3 linked regions of the Pelodiscus sinensis genome follow. The protein of the gene in region 2 interacts with the protein of the main gene of each other region in a pairwise test. Links are inferred from orthologs where the notes say so. Each region holds a gene or a part of one and is shown on either strand. Other genes may lie near its edges.

Region 1 (7,554 bases), on a different chromosome or scaffold from region 2:
GCTGTTGTCAGAACCTGCCCCCAACGGGCAGGGTGCAGGCAGGAGAAGGGGGCGGGGTGGGCAGGGGGGTGTATTTAACTGCCAGGAGAGCGAAACGCACTTGCTCCCCATTCAACCTCCCCCGCCCCCACAGCCAGGAAGAGGAGACGAACGACATGGTGGCCACGTCCCACCCCAGAAGCAGCTGCATCTGCCTTTAAAATGACACCACCGGGCCTGCTCTCCGGGGGGATTTGAACCCCACCAGTCCCACCCACCCGTGCAAGCTGCGGTTCGGATACCAGCACAGATGGGGCATCGCCGGGGACACACCCGCCCTTCTCAAGGGAAGGATACGGCAGCAGAAGGGGGCAGCCAGCAGTCAGATGGCGAAGGATCCTTTCCTGGTTCTCTCCCTCCAGGCCTCCTGAGAGCAGCTCTGCCCGGCACGGGAACACCTCCTCGGCCAGCTGGGCCATGTCAGCCGCTGGGAGAGGCAGGGACAGGAATTCAAGCTGCCCTCGGGCCCACCCAGGGGCGGCCCATCCATATAGGCGAAGTAGGCGGTCGCCTAGGGCGCCAAGTTAAATGGGGCGCCAAATGGTGGCGCCAGATCATTGAGGAGTTTGGAGGTGGAGGTGCCGATTGCATGGGTTGCCTAGGGCGCCAGCTGCTGGCAGCTAGTCTAGGGCCACCCCTGGGCCCACCCCTAGCTGCACGGCCCAAGCTTGGCTCAGGATCCCCGGCTTTCTGCTCCCCTAAGCAGCGCCCCAACGGCTCGCAAGGGAAACCCACCGCGGGGGATGTGATCTGACACGGGCAATGGCAATTTGATCTCCAAGGGCCGGTGACAAAGATCAAACACAAGCCCGGGCTGGGAGGTGAAGCTAAACCAATTCAGACAGGAAGCGGGCAGAGATCTATAATGGGGAGGGGAATTTGCGACTGGCAGGGTTGCGGTGGGGTCTGTCGCTGGAGCCGTTTAGACCCAGACAGGCTGGTGTTTGGAAAGATCAGCTTCATTCACCCAGGAGCAAATTCAGGGCAGGCCTGTGGCCCCTGTTCTACAGGAGCTGGGGCCAGCTGATCCTACCAGTCCCTGCGAGAATCAGAGAGAACGTACCACACTGTTACCCGGCACTGGGGCCTTCATCCAGGCTGGGGCCTGCATGCGGGAGCCTTGCCAAGGAGAGCCGGTGTTTTTCCCGACAAAGCCCCACCTCCTGCAGCCCCGGGATTCCAAGGGATCTTGTGCTTTCAAAGAAAGCAGAAGTGTCCAGGCAGGCTGGACAGTGAGGGCCCGAAAAGCGCCAAAGGGGAGTCCCCAGCCCTGAGGGCGTAGGAGAGTCTCACGATCTCTGCCCGAGGCCGGTGTTAGCCAGACGCGGCTCCCAGAGGGGCCTTCTGCCTCGGCCGGGAAATTAGCAGCCCGGCCGTGGGGATTTTCCCAACCAAGGCGCTTGCAAGTTTCCAAGCAAACGAACCTCACTGGAGGGCCAGAGCCAGGAGCCGCAGCCAGGCAGAAGGCAGGGCTCAGAGTAAAGGACAATTAGCTCATCGGATCTGACCTCCGGTCCAGCACAGGCTGTTACGCGGGCCCCAGCTTCCCTCCACCGAGCCCAAAGCAGCCCTTCCGGGAAGGCGGCCGGCTCCCAGCAACGTCTGAATTTCAGCATGGCGAGAGCAGAGCTCCCATGGCTCCCTGGGGCCCTCTCTCACATACCGGTGACGGGGCCCTCTGGGGACTGGACTTCCTCACCCAGTCGCAGCCCGGAACGGGCTTTGGAGAGTCCCTCCAGCGCCCAGCCCAGTGCAAAGCGCCTGCCGTGGGCGATTGTGACGACTGACCTGAGAACATTTCCCCTTGGGCGGTGTAGCCTCTCTCCAACGCTACCCGCAGGATCCTCTCCAGGGAGATGTCCTGGGACAGACCGAGGAGGGAGCCTGCCATCCACAGTGCCACCAGCCCGCACCTGGGGGGGGAGGGGGAGGGAGAAGAGACATTGCTGGGATCCCGGTCCCCAGGCTGAGCTGGATTCAAAGACAGGTAATTCTCTGCAGCACAGTCCACCCTGGAATGCTTCCCTGGGTCACCGTGTCCTTTGGCCTCCTCTCCCTCCCGTTCCCGGCCTCCCCACATTTCTCGCTTCCCCTTGGGGCTATGATATGATCTAATGGGAGCATCTGGCCACAGACACCAGCTCCTGGCGTCGTTCCTCCTCTCCAAGGTGCGAGGTACAACTCACGGAGGCTGCCACTCGCCCCCCCAAGCGGGGGCTAGGGGGAGCAGCCGCTTTGTCTAGGGATGCTTGCTCAAGGTGGAAGAGGCCAGACAGTTCTAAGGACTGCCCCCGAGTGGGACGTTACGTTTAGATCAACTCGTCAGACCTTGTGCTACCTCCTCATGCTCCTTTTCCCTCTGACACAGCGAGTCATGCTTCCCCGGCCTTTTGAACTCTCGCCCACTGCTGGAGCGGAGCTCCCCGTAAATATCCACACGGCTCCCTCCTCTTCCTCCTGAGCAGCGCTCTGGGAAATTCTCCTTTGCTGGGACACCTCCAAGACACCTCACGGAGATTAGACCGCCGCTGTGCGGAGACCCCTGGCCACTACACTGGCATGGTCTCCTGGTCTCCCATCACTCCGTGCTCTGTCTGTCTCCACGGACTGGCTCTATCTTAGCCCGAGATTGCACGGCTCTGGGGCAAGGATGGTCTTTTAGGATGTTTGTCCAGGACCCAGCCCAACAGGGGCCTAGTCCGTGGCTGGGAGTCCTAGGCGCTGACGTAACACAACTGGTGTGTAACAGCAGCCAGCTCCCTGCCAGCTCAGACTGGCCAGGCCTATGCTCCTCGCCCTGCCATGCTCACAGAACAGCTCTTGGCAACTTTTGGGGAGGGAGTAAATGCCAGACGGGGAAGCTGTGGCTCCATAGGACTGGGACCCCAAACCCCTCCCCTCTTCCTTTGCCCGTGGTTGCAATACTCACTGAGGTCCCTCTTGGATTAAGGAAGGCACCGGCTTGTTGTACAGAAGCCACTTTAAATGCCTGCTAAAGCTGAAAGAAAGACCCAAACAAGCTCTTACTGCCCGTTTGCCCCGCAGCCCCTCTTCCCCAATGTGGGCCCCTCCGCGTGACTAATGTGAAGATCATGTCTCCTCCTTTTGGGAGAACTAAGCAGAGTGCTGACTTCATCTGCTGCAGGGTTTGCGGCGGTCTCTGGGGTGGGATGTGGCCACTGTCGGCCGGCCACACAGCCACGCCCCACTATGGGACAGGAAGTGGCCCAAGGTCCTGTACCCTCTTGCCTGGCCAACTGAATTTAGGGAAGCAAAATGGAATGATCCGAATTAGGCCCTGGCCAGGACACTGGAGTTCAGCACACCCGGGCTCTGGAGCAAAGAGCAGAGACCAGGCATGAACGTCTATGTCTCATTAGAGTTACGGGAACCTCCAGCAACACACCAATCTCTATGGCCATCCTGGGGAACTGGGGTCAGAGCTGAGCGATGCCTCCCCCTTCCCCTGCCCCACAGCGGCCCCTTGCGCTGCCGAGAGAGTGCCCCTCTGCTGAGCCCCGGCCCTGCTCCCTGCCCCACAATGCCCCCTTGCGCTGCCGAGAGAGTGCCCCTCTGCTGAGCCCCGGCCCTGCTCCCTGCCCCACAATGCCCCCTTGCGCTGCCGAGAGAGTGCCCCTCTGCCGAGCCCTAGACCCGCTCCCTGCAGCACGGGCACCCCTGGCGCTGGGAATACCAAGCGGGTCGCCCACCCAGGCCCGGCGCGGCTCAGCAGGCGAGACTGGCGGGACCCAGCCCGGGGGGGTGACCGGGCGGGGCCCCACCTGGCTGTCCTGCGGCTCAGCAGCTCCCGGACGTCGTCTCTGCCCCCGGGCGCGGGGGCCGCTCGCTCCAGGGCCGCCTTGAAGAACTTGGCCTTGTCGACCCCGCACACGGGCAGGGACTGAGCAGGGGGGGGCAGCGGGGGAGGCGGCGGGGGAGGGGGCAAGGCAGGGCCGGGCTGGGGGGTGGGGGGAGGGCCCTGGTGGGGGGTTAGAGTGGGTGGGGGAGGGGCAGGCACCCCACCCCTATGGGCCATCCCCGCCCTGGCTGGGGGCAGCAGGAGGTCAAAGGGCGCAGACTAGGCCAGGGGTCAGAGGTCAGTTGGCGGGCGGGGGGAGGGGGCGTGGCTTGGAGGGGTCAGGGGTCGCCACCGGGGGCGGTGTCAGGTGCCCCCCCAAGAAGGCGATGGCGGGACAGGTCTGCGGTCGGACGAGTCTAGTCACGTGGTTGGACACCCGCTTCCTTTGTGTCTCCCCTTCCTTCCGGGGCGCGCGCCAAAGGCCGCCAATCAGCAGAGCCACAGCGGCTACTGACAGCTGCTCTCAGCCAATGGCCGTTCAGGGGGCGGGAGTTACCTTGCCGACCACCCGGCTTAGGCGGGCGAGCCACGCTCGCCCCCTGCGGATTGGTCCCTTTCCAGGCGCGCGGCACGGCCGGGATTGGCTCCCAGGCCCGGGGCCGACGTCCTTTCATTGGCCGGGGCTGGCAGGGCGCGCTTTTGGATAGGCTGGTGAGGCCGAGGCTGCTTGGTGCTGATTGGCCCACGCGGACGGCGCTCTCGGCGCGGCTCGTGTGGCGGCGGCGGGCGGCCTGGGCCTGCGGACTCCATCGGGCTCCATCGGTGAGCGGCCGCGGCGGGGCCGGGCCATCGGGCCGCGGGGTCGGGAGCCGGGGCCGGGCCCGGCCTGGGCAGCCCGGTATTGGCGGGGGAGGGGGCGGTATTGGCGGGGGAGGGGGCGTTTTCCGAGGGGGTGGGGTTCCCGGGGGGGGGGTGGTCTCTACATCCGGGTCTCTCCCGGGCGCAGAGCCACGTGCTGGCTCCCCTCCCCCCAGGGTGGGCGCCCTAGCTCCCTGGGGGCGGGGCTGTCGTACAGTGGGGGGCGGGGCTGCCCTGCTGACCCGCCCCCCCATGGTGAGGTCATGACCCCAGACGCGGCCCTGGCTCTCTGTGTGTGCTGGCTGGGCCAGGCAGGAGTGAGCGAGCGGGTGTGTGGGGGGCGTTACCCGCGCATCACACCCCTCCGCAGGGGGGTGGGGGGGGCGTTACCCGCGCATCACACCCCTCCGCAGGGGGGTGGGGGGGGCGTTACCCGCGCATCACACCCCTCCGCAGGGGGGTGGGGGGGGGCGTTACCCGCGCATCACACCCCTCCGCAGGGGGGTGGGGGGGGCGTTACCCGCGCATCACACCCCTGTGCAAGCTCTGACCTGCTGGGATCCCACTGCTCCAGCTACTGGATGGGCACCATGGGGATCTCCTGGGGGCCATGACCCCTGGAGCCAAACCCCCCCCACCCCCGCCCATCATGGGGCTGCTGTGGCCTGGGGAACCACATCGCCATGGCTCGGGTGTGTCCGTTGACTGTCTCTTCTCCTTAGACCCCGTGGTTGCGAAGCACTTAGGATGGCTGTCCCGGAAACCCGCCCCAATCACACCATCTACATCAACAACCTCAACGAGAAGATCAAGAAGGATGGTGAGCCAACTCCCGCGGGCGTTCCTGGCCTGGGCTGGCCGTGTGGGTGGGCTGAGGGGTTGGTACCCACGGCGCGTACTTCGGAGGAGGCAGGGGCTCTAATCCCTGGCCGTCCCCGGTGCCATCTGGCTGAGGAGGACTGACCCCCTCTCTTTGGTGTGGCAGGTGTGCACCGGAGTTGCTTGCTTTGCCCCAGCTCCGCTGTGTGCACAGCTCCTCGTGGCGGTCGAGCGGTGTCTGTCCGATCCGTGTGCCTAACTGTGTGCCTCTCCCCTAGAGCTGAAGAAATCTCTCTACGCCATCTTCTCGCAGTTTGGCCAGATCCTGGATATCCTGGTGTCTCGGAGTCTGAAGATGAGAGGCCAAGCCTTCGTCATCTTCAAGGAAATCAGCAGTGCCACAAATGCCTTAAGGTCTATGCAGGGGTTCCCCTTCTACGACAAGCCCATGGTAAGTGCTGCGTGCTGCCCCCCCTCCTGGGGAGGGAGCCAGTCTGGAGGGTGCTGTTGGAGTGGCCAGAGGTGCCGGTTGGCCGTGCTCCTCCTGATGAATGGTATCTCCCGCCAGAGGATCCAGTACGCCAAGTCAGACTCGGACATCATATCGAAAATGAAAGGCACCTATGTGGAGCGGGACCGCAAGCGGGAGAAGAGGAAGCCCAAAGGCCCGGAGACGCCCCCGGTCAAGAAGCAGATGCCTGGCACGACCGCGCCGGTGTCAGCTGCGGTGCAAGGAGCTGTCCCTGTAAGTAACACCAGCAGCTTCTCTGACTGGCTCAGTGGCTGGTTGGCAGGCGAAGCTAGGGCCATGGGGGAGCCTTTCCCTGTGCGGCCAGTGTGGTCTCAGGCTGTTCCCAGATGCAAAGGCTGCCGGCTGTGTTTGGCTTCTGCGGACAGCTGTGAGTGCCAGGGCTGCCAGCTCTCAAAGCCTCCAGGGCAGCTCTGCACCCAGGATCTTGCTGTGAAGCCAGGCCTCCCTCTCTCTTTCTCCTAGGGGATGCCACAAATGAACCAGGGCCCTCGCATGATGCACCACATGGCAGGCCAGCCGCCATATATGCCCCCTCCGGGCATGATCCCCCCACCTGGCATGACTCCGGGGGGTATGGCTCCTGGGGGAATGGCCCCTCAGCAGATGATGCCAGGCCAGATGCCGCCGACCCAGCAGGTGAGTACAACAGAGCACGGCTTGGGAGCCGCCCGGTCGGACCAGAGCTTCCTCCAGGCGTGGGGCTTGGGCCGTTCCCCTCCAAGACGCAGGCTGCGGTGGGCAGTGGAAGAGAGCTCGGAGGCTCGTGTGGGATGATCTCCGAGCCAGTTGCCCCTGCTGAGAAGCCGGGAGTGCTGAGGCCCGGAGGGCGCTGGTGCATGGAGATCGGGGGCACTTTCCCCTGGTAATGGGGGTGAGGAGGGGGCTGCCTTGGGCACTGCCCCTGCTGTGGGCGTCTGGCTGGCGCCGCCCTGCAGGGCTCCCGGCCTCACTCTGCTCTCTCCCCCTCAGCTCTCGGAGAACCCGCCCAACCACATCCTCTTCCTCACCAGCCTGCCGGAGGAGACCAACGAGCTCATGCTCTCCATGCTCTTCAATCAGTGAGTGCGGGGCCTGGGCCCTCTGGGCGTGCCGTGTGGGGCTACCCCCTGGGGGGGAGGTGTGGCTTGTGGGCACGGTGGGGGTACGAGAGCAATCCAGGGGTCTGTCCCTCTGATGGCCGGATCCTGCCCCCCAGGTTCCCGGGTTTCAAGGAGGTGCGGCTGGTGCCTGGCCGGCACGACATCGCCTTCGTGGAGTTCGATAACGAGGTGCAGGCTGGCGCTGCCCGTGACGCCCTCCAGGGCTTCAAGATCACGCAGAGCAACGCCATGAAGATTTCCTTCGCCAAGAAATGAAGCCCCCCGGGGCCCAGGACTGCTCCCCTCACCCCCAGTTAGTCTGTTCTCAACCAGCCCCCCTTTTTAAACCAGTTCCCTGGCAGGTAAGTCTGGCCGCAGGGCTGGCCGGTTTTCCAGCCCAAACTCCTTCCTTCCCCAGAGCCCCTTGT
Region 2 (7,755 bases):
CATGGTTAAAACACACACAGAGGCAGTATCAGAGGGGTAGCCATGTTAGTCTGTAACTTTAAGAAAGTGTAGTCATGTAACACGTTAGACCAGTGCTTCCCAATTTTATTTGGTCACAGAACCCTTTTAAATTCAAAATAATTTCGCGGAACCCCTAATAACAGTCTTGTATATGGAGCTGAAAACGTAGACCACAAATAAGTAAGGATAATAATAAGCAAATGCTAAACAAGGTCATGAGATCAACATTTAGTTTAATTGCACATATTTAAAAATAAAAATCACATTTAATGTGTACAAAAAATAAATCTTAAAAACTAATATGCATTATTTTGGCAGTTGTCCTACAGACAAGATCCAAAACTAGCTTACGTGACAACGACAAAATTTTATCTTTCGAGAGCACTGCCTGCGCACTCCCACACAATCAATTCTTTTGACAGCTGAAGTGTCGACTTTGTTCGAAGCAGTGCTAGTATATTCGTATTCAATCACCCACATGATCTACGCTCCCTGAAAATGAGTACGGTGATTTATGGTGGTATATAACAGGTGATCACACTACTGACGGTGCATGGCACAGTGCTGAGTAGTGATATCATCGTCCCTACCCTCTGGCTAAGCTGGCATTACACAGGGACACTTATAGTGGCAAACAAAAGAAAATTATTTTCAATAAAATTAATAAATGCTTAAATTTTGTTTAAATCATAAAACATTATTGCAATAGAAATTAATCACGGAACCCTTATTTTAACTTTGCAGAACACCATTTGGGAAACACAGCATTAGACTAACAAAATATATCATGAGTTTTCAAGAGCAAAACCCACTTCAATATGGAGTTGCTGGCATTACTTCTTCTATGATTCTTGTATTAGCTCTCCAGAACTGTAAACTTAAATTTTAAATTAATTTAATTATTACATAAGAGGAGAATGCCTATTTGCTCACTGATGTCCTTAATTACATTTTTTCCAATTTGAGAACACACCCCTAAGAATGTCTTACATATAGTAACACATGTACACACACCAGATCAAAAAACTAAACCATGACACCTAGAAAGGACACAAATGTAGTCTTAAGACTGACTTGTCTGTATGTGACATCCTGTTCTGTAACGTATCCCAAAAGTGTTCTTGGTCAAGATGTGAACTACTCCGATACATTTGAGAAACAGCCAAAAAAATTCAAGAGCCAGAAGAAAGAAAAAAAGCCTGTAACCTTGTTATTAAACTGGGCCAGTGGTTTTACATCAACAGCCAATGCCTTAAATATTGCTGCAGTGATACTGGAAGAGTAAGAATCTAATTTAAGAAACTAATTCATAACACTGCTACTCCCTCTTTGGGAACAAAACTACCATTGTATGTGCTTTATTATTTTCCAGATAAAAGGAAACTATCTTGATTGTTTTTCAGTAACAAGCCACTAATTTGACTTACCTGATTCTTTGCTTTGCTCAAAGTATTGGTATGCAGACAAAATCTCACAGAAAATGCCTCATCTCATTTCTAACTCAAGTATGTATATTTAAAATAAGATACAGGAAAAAACGCAATATCTGTGCTAAACTGATAACTATGCTTTCCCTTAAAATTTCAGTACTAGACAATAAACAACAGTAATGAAATAGTAGATGGCCCAAAAAGATTGACTCAAAATGTCGTTTTACTTAGTTTAGCACTGGATGCATTTTATTTAGAAGAACATTTTATATTTGTTATATTTAATAGAGCACTAATTTGTATTTACTTAATTTGAATTTCAGACTTGAAAAGCCAACAGTACCTAGTTGAGTAATTTTTTTCCCCAGTTATCTATAATTTTACAACAGAGCTTCAGAGAGGTAGCCAAGTTAGTCTGTCACAGGAAAAACTTAAAAAACAAATAGTCTAGTAGCACTTTAAAAACAAAACATGTAGATGATGTCATGAGCTTTCGTGGGCAAAACCTACTTCTTCAGATGACAGCCGTATAATGAGTCCAGATCCAAGGATAAATGGGGGGTGGGGGAAGGAGGGGAGGAAGAAAAAGAGACAGGGAGTAGATAAAACTTAAAAAACAAGGATTAGTTTAGTAGCATTTCAAAGACTAACAAAACATGTAGATGGTGAGTAGATAGTTCAGGTAGTTACAGGGTCTGTTAAGAACCATTAGCACCATCGTTGGTTGGTTGGTTGGTTGTTATTAAATGGTGGAAGAGCGTGTCTGAGCCATTCACTACCCCTCTTTAGACCATTAACATAAGAATTAAACTCGTGAATGAAGTTAAGTTCCAATCCTTCTTTGTGTATTTGGCTTGTAGAAGTGGTCTGAAACAAAACCAGGACTTGAAGATCCATTCATGAGTGTCCAGGAAGATTAAATTGTTCTCCAACAGGTTTTTTGTGTTGCCTTTTCAGATATCTGATTTGTGTCCATTAATTCTTTCCTGTAGAGACTGTCCAGTTTGGCCAGTATACATTGCAGTGGGGCATTGCCACCATTTGATGGCATAAAGTTCCACCACCCTATACCAGAAACCTACTGACTGCTACCCTTACCTTCATGCCTCTAGCTTCCATCCCAGACACATTTCCCAATCTATTGTATACAGTGAAGCCCTAAGATACAACCATATTTGCTCCAACCCCACAGAGACAAACATCTACAGGATCATGCACCTATAGGAGCATCTTAAAATTGAAATACCCACCTGAGAAGTGAAAAAACAGATTGACAGAGCCAAAAAAGTCCCCAGATATGAACTACTTCAAGACAGGCCCAGAAGAGAAAACAACAGAATTCCACTTATCGCCTATAGTCTACATCTTAAATCCCTCTAACACATTATCAACAATCTATAACCTATCCTGGAACATGACCCCTCACTCTCAGAGGTCTTGGGAGAAAGGCTACATGTTTTGTTAGTCTTTGAAGTGCTACTAAACTAATTTGTTGTTTTTTAAGTTTTTACAACCTAGAGCAGGGGTTGGCAAACTTGGCTCATTGCCTGTCAGGGTAATCCACAGAATTTGTTTACCTTGAGCATCCACAGGCATTGCTCCCCTCACCCTGCAGCTCCCAGTGGCCGCCTTTCACCATTCTAACAGTTCCCATTGGTTGGGAATGGCAAACTGTGGCCAAAACCAAAAGGCAGCTTGTCAACTAAAGTATGTGAATGTACTGCTTCAACCTTGCTCCTGCTGTCAGAAGTGCCCTACTTCACACAGTAATGCCACCTCTATAAGAGGCATAGAGCTTAATGGATGTAATTGGGATGTCAGTGAAGACCCTATAGATTATTTGATTTGGCTCTGAGTTGTCATTCTTGTGAATTTCCCAGCTCTATAGTATGAGCCACGAAACTGACAGGAAAGCCATGCAGCTCCATCTGTCATCCCAACATGGGTGGGCTCTACCTAGAGCCTGGCAACCCTGGAGGGGCTCCTTGGAGGGAGCCCAACAGCTGCCCCCCCACATCAGACACAGAGGTCCCCACGGAGCGCCTAGGAAACACGGATGGAGGAAGCTGCACTCCAGTAGGGAGCTGCACAGAGTTGAGAGCTTGGACTCTCCGTCCCCACCGGTATTGCCCCCTCTTTAAGCCACTAGAGTTGCGCTGCCGGTGAGGATGCGCACGACGGACAACAGGTGAGATGCACGGCTCTCGTGAGGCGGCTGTAAGTTAGCCCAATGTGAGCGTGAGGGGCAGGCGTGCCCTAAACCCCGTTCGCTCCCGCCTGAGCAAACGCTGCCCTGTGTTTATGGATGGTCTCACCACTCGGCACGAAGAGCGTCGCACGAAACGCGGAGCCTGCTCGGCGTCTACTGCTCGGGAGCTCGGGGCCCGCTAGGGCTGGGACGGGCTCTGGCTCTCCGGCCCCGCGGCGCGCACTACGCGGCCTTGCCCCCCCCAAGTCCGGCGCGCGGGCTGCGCAGCCCAGAAGGGGGAGCCGGGCGGATGCGCCGCGCTAGAGGGGACGGTGCCGGGATGGGCCCCAGGGCTGCCTGGTCGGTTCCCAGCCCGGGGCGAGGAGCTGCCCCCTCCGCGCTGCTGAGCGCCCCGGGATCCCTCCCCGCTCTGGGCGCCGGGGTAGCTGAGCGGCCGCTACCACGAGGCGTGTCCCGCACCTCACGCGTGGCTGCCGGAGGCTCCTATCAGCCCCGCGCCGCCCCTGCCGGCGACGTTGCTGTGGCTGCCGGGCCGTTACTCCTCCGCCCGCGTGACGCGCCACGCTCCCGGCCTCCTTTCCTCGCGCCTCGGCGGGAGGCGGCGCCAACGAAGCGACAACAGCCCCGTAAAGACGCGAAGTGTGAGGAGCACAGTCGCGCATGCGCCCCTCGGCGGGGCTTTCCCCTTCCTAGCAGCACGTGACTCCTCCCCCCCTCCCCGGGATGAAGTAACAGGAGTTTGTTTTGAAGAGTTTTTTCATGCGTGCCTCTCTGAGGCGAGCCGGGGCCGCGCGCGCGGGGGGGGGGGGGCGGGGAACAGCGCGAGCCTCTCTCCGCGTGCGCCGCACGTAGCTCTTCACGTGCGGGGGGAGGGAGGAAAGGAAGGAAGAGCCGCGGAACGGCCTCCTGGCTCCGCCTCCCCCTATTCCCGTCAGAGCTTCCCCAGGGAGCTGCGCCCCCCGCCCCCTGGGCCCCGAGAGCGCGAGTGAGGCGCGGGTTGGCTCCGCCAAGTGGCGCCGCCGCTGTTCCCTGACTAACGGCCGCCCCGCCCCTGCTCCCTCCCCCCGGCGTGTCCCTTCCCCTCCCCCCCTCGTGTCCTGCCCCCTCCCCTGCCGCCGCCGCTGCTGCTGCTACCAGCGCAGCCTGGACTGAGGCGAACTCCGGAGCGAACTGAGGAGAAGTGAGGAGGCGGCGGCGGGGCTGAGACTCACCAGCCACAGGCAACGGGAGGGAGGAGGCAGGCGGCGAGGACACCGGGCGCAGCGCGGCGGCAGAGACCCAGCAGCGGCCGGGAGGAAACAACCAGCGGCGGCGGCTCCTCGGGAAGCAGCAGTGCCTGGCCGCCCCCCCTCCCTCGCCGTGGAGAGCAGACAGGGGCAGCGGCGCGGAGAGGAGCCGGGCTCAGCGTGTGCGCGCGGGAGGAGGAGGGGGGACCTGGAGGACTGCGCCGACCGGCCGGGGGCGCACGGAGCCGGGGAACCAGGGGCGACCGAGTTTCCTCCTTTCTGCACCCGGGACCTGGCGGCGGGGTTGGTTTGTTGCTGATTGAATCTTCTTCCTCCCCGGGGAGCCCCCCTCCCCGCCCGGATCCGGCCGGGCGCCCCGTGCCGTGGTTGGGCTGCGCGGCGGGCGCTCGCGGGCTCTGCGCGATTGGAATATGGTTGGGGAAATGGAAACCAAGGAGAAGCCGAAGCCGAGCCCCGATTATCTGATGCAGCTGATGAACGACAAGAAGCTGATGAGCAGCCTCCCTAACTTCTGCGGGATCTTCAACCACCTCGAGCGGCTGCTGGACGAAGGTAAAACACTCCCCCGGGCCTCCGCGCTACTCCTTGGAGCCGCCTGCGTTCTCCATTCCAACCCCAAGAGCCGGGGGTGGGCGCTTCCCTGGCTCCTTCTCCTCCCGGGTCTCTTCAGACTCGATCTCGGCCTTTCTCTTCACAAAACAAAGGGGCAGTGGGGTACCTCCAGTTTGTGCCTGCAGCATCAGAGGTGTGGTGGGGGATCTCGTCTTGTGTGGTCCCCCCCCCTCCGGTTTTCTGCACATTGTCTGTTAAATGAGGGGAAGGGGAACCACTACCTTATGGAGGAGAGGGAACGAACAGGAAGGGGAAAGGCGCTGAGGAATGTGGTTTGGGGGGGAGGTGGGGGGACGGGAAGGTCGTTTTCAAGCTGTGTGGCTACTGGATCACGCTGGAAAGTATTGAAGGGAGAAATAGTACTATGTGGTGCCTTTTTTTGGAAGGGGGGCGGTCAGTCGACTTATTTTGCGGGCCTGGAGCCAAGGGAAGGGTGTTTTGGTGTCGGGATTTGGCTGTTCTGGAAGCTGCTTCAACTTGAACGACGAACGCCTGAGAGGCAGAGCTCCTTCCCCTTCTCTGGCACGGGCCCCCGCATTACCCCACCCCAAACTGGTCAAAGTAATAATTAAAAATTTCCTAGCGCCTGAGAAGGGAGCAGACTCTTCTCTCAGTTGTCGTTACCTTTTAAAGAAGCTAACCTAAAGAATCCTACGTGTGAGTCTAGTTACTGAAAAGAATTAAGAAATAAATTCTCTGCTGCCAAATGTCCGCTGCTGCCTTCAGCCAGGGCGCCGTCTTTTCTGAGCCCCGCACCCAACTCCTTGCAAAGGGTGCAGAGAGGCCGCTTAGTCTGGGCCACATTCGTTCTCGCTTAATGATTCTTTTTCCCGGAGAGTGTTTACAAATCAATTATCTCATTTTAAAAGAATGTCAGACGTTTGAAACCTCAAACGTCGTCTGCCTGTTCTCTTTTAATAACTGCGTTATTGTAGCGAAGTTAAGTAGTCTCCTTGTATTTAGGGGGTTTTTTAGGCTCTTTGTATGTTTAGGGTACCCGTTGGTGCTCAAACAATAGTACTCAGCTGAATGTACCGCCACTCACCTTGGTGGGAAACTACAAACTGAACTATTTAAATTATATTAAGCCGACTTTAGTAATCTGTGTAGAAATGAAAACCGTTGAAACAATTTCAACTGTGTGGAGAGTTTAACAAACTACAGGATTTTGAGATCTTATTGGAAAGGATTTCTGCCTGCAGTAATATTCCTTATTACTTGAAAGAAAACTTTGTCAAAAGATTTACTTCAGACGGGAAAATAATTGCTTATATTTCATGGGACAAAATATTTAAAAATGTGAAAATGAGAATGTAGCAGAAAATAACCTACCCAGAAAAGTACCTTTTTGGAAGGAAATGACTGGGGTGAAAAACAAGAATTGGTATAAATGGACTCTAGTAAGCAGTATTTCCATGGAGAAATTGTTTCTGAGGATTGCTTTTATAAATCTGGAGTGGATAAACGTGGTCATCACAAGAAACTACTTAGAACATATAATTATGATTGCTGTAAAATATTCTTCAGAAAGATTCAAAAACAAGGGATGTAAAATCAAAAAGAAACTGTATGAAGACACATTTAAATATACATGAACTCCACAGTGGCTTGGCAATGGATTTTAAAAAGTTCCTGAAGACTCTGAAAGTTATATGATCTGGGTGGGGGGGAGCCCTACTAAGTTTATTGGTCATAAGAACAAAAGAAACATCTCTTGTTTCAAATGGATATTGAAATAGAGGAATACATGAGGTCACTGCATCTTTTGAAGGTCATTGAATCCTGGAATACTTGGAAATCTGTTCTTTTAGCAAAGTTTGCTAAATCCAAAACAATGGATATGAGGACTGTGTGATGGAAGTTTAAAAACGTTACTGAACATTCACCGTCTCTTTTTCCAAACTGCTCATGCATTTTATGTTTCTGAATAGCCCAGGAAGCATTCTGCTGCTCTTTCAAGTATTCCTGCTCTTTTCTTGATTGCATTGGTGTTGGGATGGAAGAATTGCGGAGGCCGAAAACTTTCTGGAATGTTTAAAAAAAAAAAAAAAAGTTGCTTGTAAATCTAGTGAAAATTTCAAAGTGTGAACACTAAGGGGCGCCAGTTCTTTCTTTTTGTGAGAAAGATGAGGACAGATTTGTAAGGTCTTGCTAACCTTAATATTACAATTAGTATCTTTACTAGAAGATAGTCAAGAATTACATTTGATATGCTTAAATATCATACTTCTGTATT
Region 3 (7,744 bases), on a different chromosome or scaffold from region 2:
TGCTGAAACTGACCGCCAGTTCTGACTTACATACAGAATCAACTTAAGAACCCCAGGCGTCCCCAAGTCAGCTGCTGCTGAAACTGATCAGCAGCTGATTCCAGGAAGCCCCGGGCAGAGCAACTCTGCCTGGGGCTTCCTGTAGTCAGCGCTGGTCAGTTTCAGCAGAAGCTGACTTGGGGACGCCTGGGGCAGAGCAGCTGGGGTGCTGCTGGGTTGCTCCAGTAGCGCCGCTCCTGGGTGCTACTGGACCAACCTAGCAGCACCCCATCTGCTCTGCCCCAGGCGTCCTGATTCAGCCGCTGCTGAAACTGACCAGCAGCGGCTGAATCAGGACCTGGGGCAGAGCAGCTGGGGTGCTGCCGGGTTGGTCCAGTAGTGCCCAGAGCGGGCGCTGCAGGACCAATCGGCAGCGCCCCAGCTGCTCTGCCCCAGAGTCCAAAACAAAAGCCTGGTCTGCTGGGGGGGGGGGGAGCACACTAGCTGCCCCCCCCCCCCAGCAGACCAGAGACACGGGGAGCAGAGCCTCTGAGGCTTTGCTCTGGCAAAGCCTCAGAGGCGAGGGACCCCGCCGCGGCTGCGGCTTCAGTCCGGGAGCCTGTGGTCTGCTGGGGACGGTCCCCAGCAGACCACAGGCTCCCGGACTAAAGCCGCAGCCGTGGGGGGGTCCCGCGCCTCTGAGGCTTTGCCAGAGCAAAGCCTCAGAGGCGCGGGGAACCGCCGCTGCTGCCGCTTCAATCTGGGTGCCTGTGGTCTGCTGGGGACCGTCCCCAGCAGACCACAGGCACCCAGATTGAAGCGGCAGCAGCGGTGGTTCCCCGCGCCTCTGAGGCTTTGCTCTGGCAAGGCCTCAGAAGCGCGGGAACCCGCCCGGTGCCCCTGGTCTGCTGGAGACGGTCTCCAGCAGACCAGGGGCACCGGAGCAGCTTACGAACAGGGCTTTCTCGCCCCGACTTCCGGGGCGAGAAAGCCCCGTTCGTAAGTGCGGATCCGACGTAAGTCGGATCCGCGTAAGTCGGGGACTGCCTGTATTGGATAGGTCCAACATAGGTTTTTTCCCTTTCCTCTGAAGCAGTGGTTTTCAAACTTTTTCTTATGACCCAACTGAAGAAAATTGTTGATGCCTGCAACCCAACATAATTTGACCAGAGTGTAAAAGGGGGCTCCGGCTTGCGGGGGGGAGGGTATCAGAGCTGGAGTAAGAGGGGCTTACCTTAAGCAGCTCCTGACCAGTGATGCAGCAGGGGTGCTAAGGCAGCTTCCTGCCTCTCTTGCCACCACAGACCATGCTGCGCCCCAGAAGCAACCAGCAGCAGGTTCCCAGCCAATGGGAGTGCGGAGCTAGTGCTCAGGTCAGGGGCAGTGCACAGAACATTGTGTGCTCTCCCCCCACCACCTAGGAGCTGGGCCTGCAGCTGGCTGCTTCTGAGGTACAGGTAGCTGCCATAGCACCCTCACTGATCACTTGATCCCCCTGCAGCAACCAGACCCAGTGCCTGACATTCTACGATCCAGTACTGGGTCATGACCCATAGTTTGAAAACCACTGCTCTGAAGCATCAAGGGGGGATTACTGTCAGAGGTGGGATGATCAGCCAGATGGAACAATGACCTGTTCCTATGTAACAACTTCAGATACCGAAATATAAAGAAGACTAATTCTGTGGTTTACACTGGTCTCTAATTGAGAATTTATCAAATAGCATACAAAATATGGGGCAAATTCTGGCCTCACCCAATAAACAAACAACAACAACAACAAAACAATACCTTTCATGTAGACAAGGCCTAAGGGCTAGGCCACACTGGAAAGTTATACCATTAAAAGCTAAGGTGATAATTAAAACTAAAAAATTTATTCCAGTACAAATCCCTGTATGGACACTTATCTCAGTGCAAGGATATGTCTACACTACACCAGCACACCTGTGCTTTAGTAGTGTAGATAATCCTACATGAATAGATGCTTTTTCCTGTTGGTGTAGTTAATGCCTCTCTCTAGGAGGTGGGAACTACATTGATGAAGAATTCAAGCTGCATCTACAGTGACCTGCCCACATTGCATTGGGCATGACATTTTTCACTGTCCTGAGCTAGGTAGCTAGACTGATTGAATTTTTAAGAGTAGAAGGCCTACTGGTACTTTGTTTTCAATTTAGCTTATGTTACTTCGGAAAGGCTTTCAGATAAACCAGAAAAAGCTACTCTTAAACTGGAATAAGAGTGTCCACACAAGGAGTTGTGCTGGTATAATTATACTGATTTAATTGTATTGGTAAAATTATACCAGTATAACCGGTAAAACTGTCCTGTGTCAGTTTTGAGGACTGTACTTGATTTGGTGACTCTGTCTCTCTTCTGATTGGTTTTGTGAGAAACAATCCCATTCCAGGCACGTGCCATTTTCCTGGCGCAACCAAATCCTTACATTGTTTTAAGTTATGATAAGAGGAAGCTGGTATATTGAATTTGGTGGTTCTAGCTCAGGTGTGGACAAGATATGGCCCATGCACCAGATCAAGCCTGCAGCCTACCCTACCGGGACCTTCAGGCACGTTCCCTGCTTGTCACAGACCCAAGCTCAAAGTCACTAGCTGTTCCCTACATGTGCCTCTCTGCACTACGCAACTGGGGGAGGAGAGGAGGAGGAAGACTTTGCATGCTGCCTTCCCAGCCCAATCATAGCAGCTCCTAGAATCAGCATCTGGCACCCCACCCCTTCCGGCACCCCATCCCTTCCCGCACCCAGGGCCAGCCAGAGCCATTTTGGCGCCCTGGGCCCGGGCGCGCGGCACTGCCCCCAGGAGCATGGCGTATGTGCAGGCCCGCCCCCGGGGCGTACGGCTGCATGCACGCAGCCCGGCGTCTGCCCCTGGGGCGCATGCGCTGCCCAGCCCGGCCCAGCCACTGCTGCTGGCACGCAGCCCAGGGCGGGCCGCGCCTGGCCATGCAGGGCCCCACAGCTGTGGGGGAAAGGGTGCTACTGGCTGGCGCCAGGGGGATGGGGGGCTGGTGCGCTGTGGGACGCCGCGTGCCCCTTACAGCTGCCATCAGGCGCCCCCATCAGTTGGCACCCCGGGCAGCTGCCTGGCTTGCTCACCCCCTAGTCCGGCCCCGCCTACACCCTCACTCCCTGCCCCAGGTCACTGCAAAAACCCTCTGCACTCCCATTCCCCAGGTCACAGCTCCCCCTCCAACCCTGCACTCTCTCTTGCACACCAATCTCCCCCTCCAACCCTCTGCACTCCCATTCCCCAGGTCACCACCCAAATCCTCAGCACCTACTTTCCCCGTTTCAGGTCACAACTCCCTCCCAGACCCTCTGTCTCTTCCTAACCCCTCCCTCTCCAAGCCAGAATCCTCTCCTGCACTCATGCTCTCTCCAACACTGAATCCCAACCCCCTACCCCAGGTCACAACCCCCTCCTTCACCCAAACTTTCTCTCAGATCCCACACCCTCTCCTGCACCCTAATACCCTACCCCATGCTCCCTTCTGCACTCAGTCTCCATCCCAGACCCCACTCCCTTCATTGAAATGCAGCCCATGGCCACTTACCAAAATCTTGGAGTGCTCCCCCTCAGAAAGTATTGCCTACTCCTGTCCTAGCTCTTGGGCTGCGTCTAGATCGGCATGATTTTCAGAAATGCTTTTAACGGAAAAGTTTTCCGTTAAAGGCATTTTCGGAACAGAGCATCTAGATTGGCACGGACGCTTTTCCGCAAAAGCACTTTTTGCGGAAAAGCATCCATGCCAATCTAGATGCACTTTTCCGCAAAAAAGCCCCGAAAACAAATCTGAGCTGTCTACACTGGCCCTTTTGCGCAAAAGCTTTGCGCAAAAGGACTTTTGCCTGAACGGGAGCAGCATAGTATTTCCACAAGAAGCACTGATTTCAGACAGTAGGAAGTCAGTGCTTTTGCGGAAATTCAAGCGGCCAGTGTAGACAGCTGGCAAATTTTTCTGGAAAAGCGGCTGATTTTCCGGAAAAGCTGGCCAGTCTAGACACAGCCCTCCTGTTTAGGAGGAGATCTTGAAACCACCTCTCTAAAATATAGAGTAGATTAAGTTGAGAATTTGCCCTCACCTGCAGCGCTGGCTGCGTTCACTTTGTCTCCACAAGGATGTAGCAGATAGGGGGAGATTTGCAAGCCAGGCAGTGAAAAGGATTAGAGCCCCAGAAAGCTCATGTGAGAAGAGAGAGCGGCCAGCTTGTGGCTGCATAGCGCTGCCAGCAGGCATGCCAACACTCCACATGCCAGTGAATAAGCGGGCACGCACTGGGGGCGCCTGTTTCTCATACCTAGAGCCCGACGTGCAGCAGACAAGCCAGGAGGTGAAAAGGCGTCGCGTTTAATGCTCCCCTCACCACCGGGCAGCTAAGGCAGGCGCGGATCCGCTCGAGTGAGCGGGGGCAGGGAGCACCAAGCACAGCAGGGCGCGCGTGCCCGGGCTGGGGACGCAAGAGCCCCTCCCCTTCCCACCCGCTCTCCTTCTCCGGGCAGGCAGGCTCCAAGTACCCACCACCCCGCGCGTGGCCCCGCCCTCCCTGATTCCCGAAGGTTGCCGAGGCTCCGCCCCTCCCTCATTCCCGAAGGTTGCCGAGGCCCCGCCCCTCCCTCATTCCCGAAGGTTGCCGAGCGGGGTCGCGCTGCCTCGGCTCCCTAGCTGGCGTGTCCGGAGATAGCCGAGGAGCTCCGGCCCCTCCCCCCCCCCCGTCCCCGGCTGCCGCCGCCACCGCCTCCTCCCCTGTGGCCGGCCCGAGTCAGTGCCCAGTAGGTTGGTGGAGCGGCCGCTGCGGGACGGACTCTGCTGCTCCCGCGACGCGCTCTCTCGTCCCGCCGGCCCCGGGCCCGCAGCGCCACCGGGCGATCGCGCCAGGCGGGGACCCTCTCGCCCGTGTGCGGCTGCGGCGGCGGCTCCCCCAGGGGACGCGGGGCGGCCGGGGGGTCGGGCTCGGATGGCGGAGGGGACCCAGCCCCAGCAGCAGCAGCAGCAGCAACAGCTCGTCCCCGGCGGCGAAGCCCCCCGGGGCGTGAAGCGGGAGCCGGAGCAGGAGCAGCCCATGCCCGGAGGGGACGGCGCCGAGGCTGGCCACAGCAAGCGGCTGAGGACGGAGGCGGAGGCGGGCGGCGGCGGCGGCATGCAGGTAGCGGGGCCCCGGGCCCAGCGGGCAGGCTGCGCTGGGGGGCCGCGACCGGGGGGCGGTGTAGGCTGGGGGGCGCCCCCCCCCGCGCTGCCTGCGGACACGTAGCCGGGATGTGGGGCGCCGAGACCCTCGCTTCGAGGAGCGGTGGGGTCCGCGGGGCGGGGGGGAGCAGGGGCGCCGGGCCGCGGGGAGCGGCGCGAAAAGGGGAAAGCGGCTGGCCAGGTAGCGACCCAGCGGGAGGGTTGAGAGCAGCTCTGGAGCAGCGGGGCGCTGGCCTACAGGGATGGGGCAGTCTCCTGCGGCCGTAGGCTGAGATCGGAGCGGGATGTGGGATTTATTTGGGGGGGGGGTCAATTCCCCACCCGCAGCTTGGTGGTCCCATTGGTAGCAGAAATGAAGCCCGTGTTCCGAGAGGGGTTTTCGTCCTTCCTTGTCCCAGCGCCGAGCAAATCCACGAAGTTACTGTTTCTAAGGGGAAGACCGTGCTAATTCTGGAGAATGACCCTGAGGATTTCAGCTGTTTGATCAAAAGGACCGTTTTTAAGCTGTTGTATTTGCCAGTACTTTCTTAAATCACGTGGCTTATTTTTTTTTAATTAAAATTCCTTTAAAAACAAATTCTGCAATTTTTTCACTTGGTTGTGTCCCGCCACCCAGTTGACAATTGTAAGGGTCTCCTCAGTAATGGAGAAACTGATGGGGCAATACAAGAGGTATTATGAAACTGACCACATACAAAGTGATTTTAAATGCTCAGTGTAAAACTGAAGTAAAAATAGGTGTTTTTTGCTAATTGATTTAATAGTAATCTGAGGTATTATAATTAGTGAAGGTATACAGTATTCAGACTGTCTTTTACTGTTCTGTTCGCCAATTTATTAAAAAAGCACAATCTTGAAAATAGATCATTCTGCCCCATATTTTGTTTTTTTAAGCACTGACTTTTCCTGTTAAAGGTGTAGTAATGCCTAAAATGACAAAGAATGTTGTAGCATTGTTGGTGTTCAGCATGGGGACTGCCCTTCTTTAACATATTTTCTTTTCCCAGATTACTATGTCTGTTGCACTGACTGGATGCCTATTTCTCTCTTGGGTACCCCAGATTGGTGACAGCTGCTTATTGTGCATTTCCTTTACTGCTTTTTCTTGTTATTTCTTCAGTATTATTCCCCCATTCATTAAAAATGGGAAAAAGCAGAACTCCTATTTTCTATAGTTTACAGCGTGGTAAGAAGCATCATGTGGTTGAAGTATTAAGAGTATGGAGCCAGAGGTGTCTTGGATATCATGAGTGAACAAGGAGGATCTGGTCTGTAACCTTAGAATCTGCTCTCCTATAGATACAGATGGGCATCAGTTTATGAATTCATATGGGCACATGTCATATCAATATACTCTTTTAATTTACTGAGAGTACATTTCTTCTCTTGGCAGTTTTGATCCTATTTGTTTTTCACTGGGCCTTTCATTCCCCCATGGCTGAATATCTCCCTCTGATTGTAGCTTCTGTGTACAGTATCAGAGTCTGTGTAATGGCAGTGCTGCCTTGGGAGATGCTATGGATGGGAGTGGCAAAGGCAAATGGTTCGGCCATCGTGCATATGTTTTACAGATTAATGACACTTAGTCGGATCATGCTCTTGTATGCTTGTAAATAACAACTAGTTTGGAGGTGCAACTGTTAAACGAAAGAGAGGGTATTATGGAGTGTATTTATTTTTCTCTCTGGCTGTATTTTACACAGGGCTCGTCTACACTGGCCCCTTTTCCGGAAGGGGCATGTTAATTTCAGCGATCGCAGTAGGGAAATCCGCGGGGGATTTAAATATCCCCCGCGGCATTTAAATAAAAATGTCCGCCGCTTTTTTCCGGCTTTTAGAAAAGCCGGAAAAGAGCGTCTACACTGGCCCCGATCCTCCGGAAAAAGCGCCCTTTTCCTGAGGCTCTTATTCCTACTTCAAAGTAGGAATAAGATCCTCCGGAAAAGGGCGCTTTTTCCGGAGGATCGGGGCCAGTGTAGACGCTATTTTCCGGCTTTTCTAAAAGCCGGAAAAAAGCGGCGGACATTTTTATTTAAATGCCGCGGGGGATATTTAAATCCCCCGCGGATTTCCCTACTGCGATCGCTGAAATTAACATGCCCCTTCCGGAAAAGGGGCCAGTGTAGACGTAGCCACAGTGTTTTTCTGCTAGAGGTAAGCAGTTGGTCTCAGTGCTTCTTTCTGCTGTTTCTTGCACTGAATGTGCTGGAGCTCTTTGAAAACAATGAGATTAATTCATCGTGTGGTTTCTACTTTCACTCCTGCTTGGGTTTGTGGTTCTTAATAGTCTCTGAAGGGAGGGACATTTGTGTCCCATGGAAGTGTTTCCCCCACTATGTTGCATTAGTCTGGCGCTCTCCTGTGTGTGGCCCTTCCTGGTTGTTTTCTCTGCCACATCCCTCCCACTTCCCATGTTCCACCACACATCCCTCTTTCTCACCCCATTATATCAAAAGAAAGTCATATAGCACTTCAAAGACTAACAAGATGGTTTATTAGGTGATGAGCTTTCGTGGGGCAAACCCACCTCTTCAGATCATATCAATTGAACTTG

The links.
Region 1: the proteins of QKI (region 2) and SNRPA interact in binary tests that used the Homo sapiens proteins (3 or more experiments, as listed by UniProt). The link is inferred for Pelodiscus sinensis from reciprocal best matches to the Homo sapiens genes QKI and SNRPA.
Region 3: the proteins of QKI (region 2) and RBFOX2 interact in binary tests that used the Homo sapiens proteins (3 or more experiments, as listed by UniProt). The link is inferred for Pelodiscus sinensis from reciprocal best matches to the Homo sapiens genes QKI and RBFOX2.

Annotation. Positions count from the first base shown.
Region 1 is NW_027465849.1:7,412,388-7,419,941, reverse strand, and holds the start of SNRPA (U1 small nuclear ribonucleoprotein A), read left to right. Parts: upstream 1-4,501; 5' UTR 4,502-4,660; intron 4,661-4,712; exon of another isoform or gene 4,713-4,736; intron 4,737-5,418; 5' UTR 5,419-5,443; coding exon 5,444-5,516; intron 5,517-5,793; coding exon 5,794-5,966; intron 5,967-6,083; coding exon 6,084-6,260; intron 6,261-6,509; coding exon 6,510-6,683; intron 6,684-7,016; coding exon 7,017-7,105; intron 7,106-7,242; coding exon 7,243-7,402; 3' UTR 7,403-7,554. Other genes in the region: ACTMAP (actin maturation protease), read right to left, coding at 1,828-1,952, 2,969-3,037, 3,822-4,075. UniProt on the Homo sapiens protein: Component of the spliceosomal U1 snRNP, which is essential for recognition of the pre-mRNA 5' splice-site and the subsequent assembly of the spliceosome. U1 snRNP is the first snRNP to interact with pre-mRNA.
Region 2 is NC_134713.1:116,033,386-116,041,140, forward strand, and holds the start of QKI (KH domain-containing RNA-binding protein QKI), read left to right. Parts: upstream 1-4,684; 5' UTR 4,685-5,317; coding exon 5,318-5,459; intron 5,460-7,755. UniProt on the Homo sapiens protein: RNA reader protein, which recognizes and binds specific RNAs, thereby regulating RNA metabolic processes, such as pre-mRNA splicing, circular RNA (circRNA) formation, mRNA export, mRNA stability and/or translation.
Region 3 is NC_134711.1:93,540,583-93,548,326, forward strand, and holds the start of RBFOX2 (RNA binding protein fox-1 homolog 2), read left to right. Parts: upstream 1-4,721; 5' UTR 4,722-4,960; coding exon 4,961-5,149; intron 5,150-7,744. UniProt on the Homo sapiens protein: RNA-binding protein that regulates alternative splicing events by binding to 5'-UGCAUGU-3' elements. Prevents binding of U2AF2 to the 3'-splice site.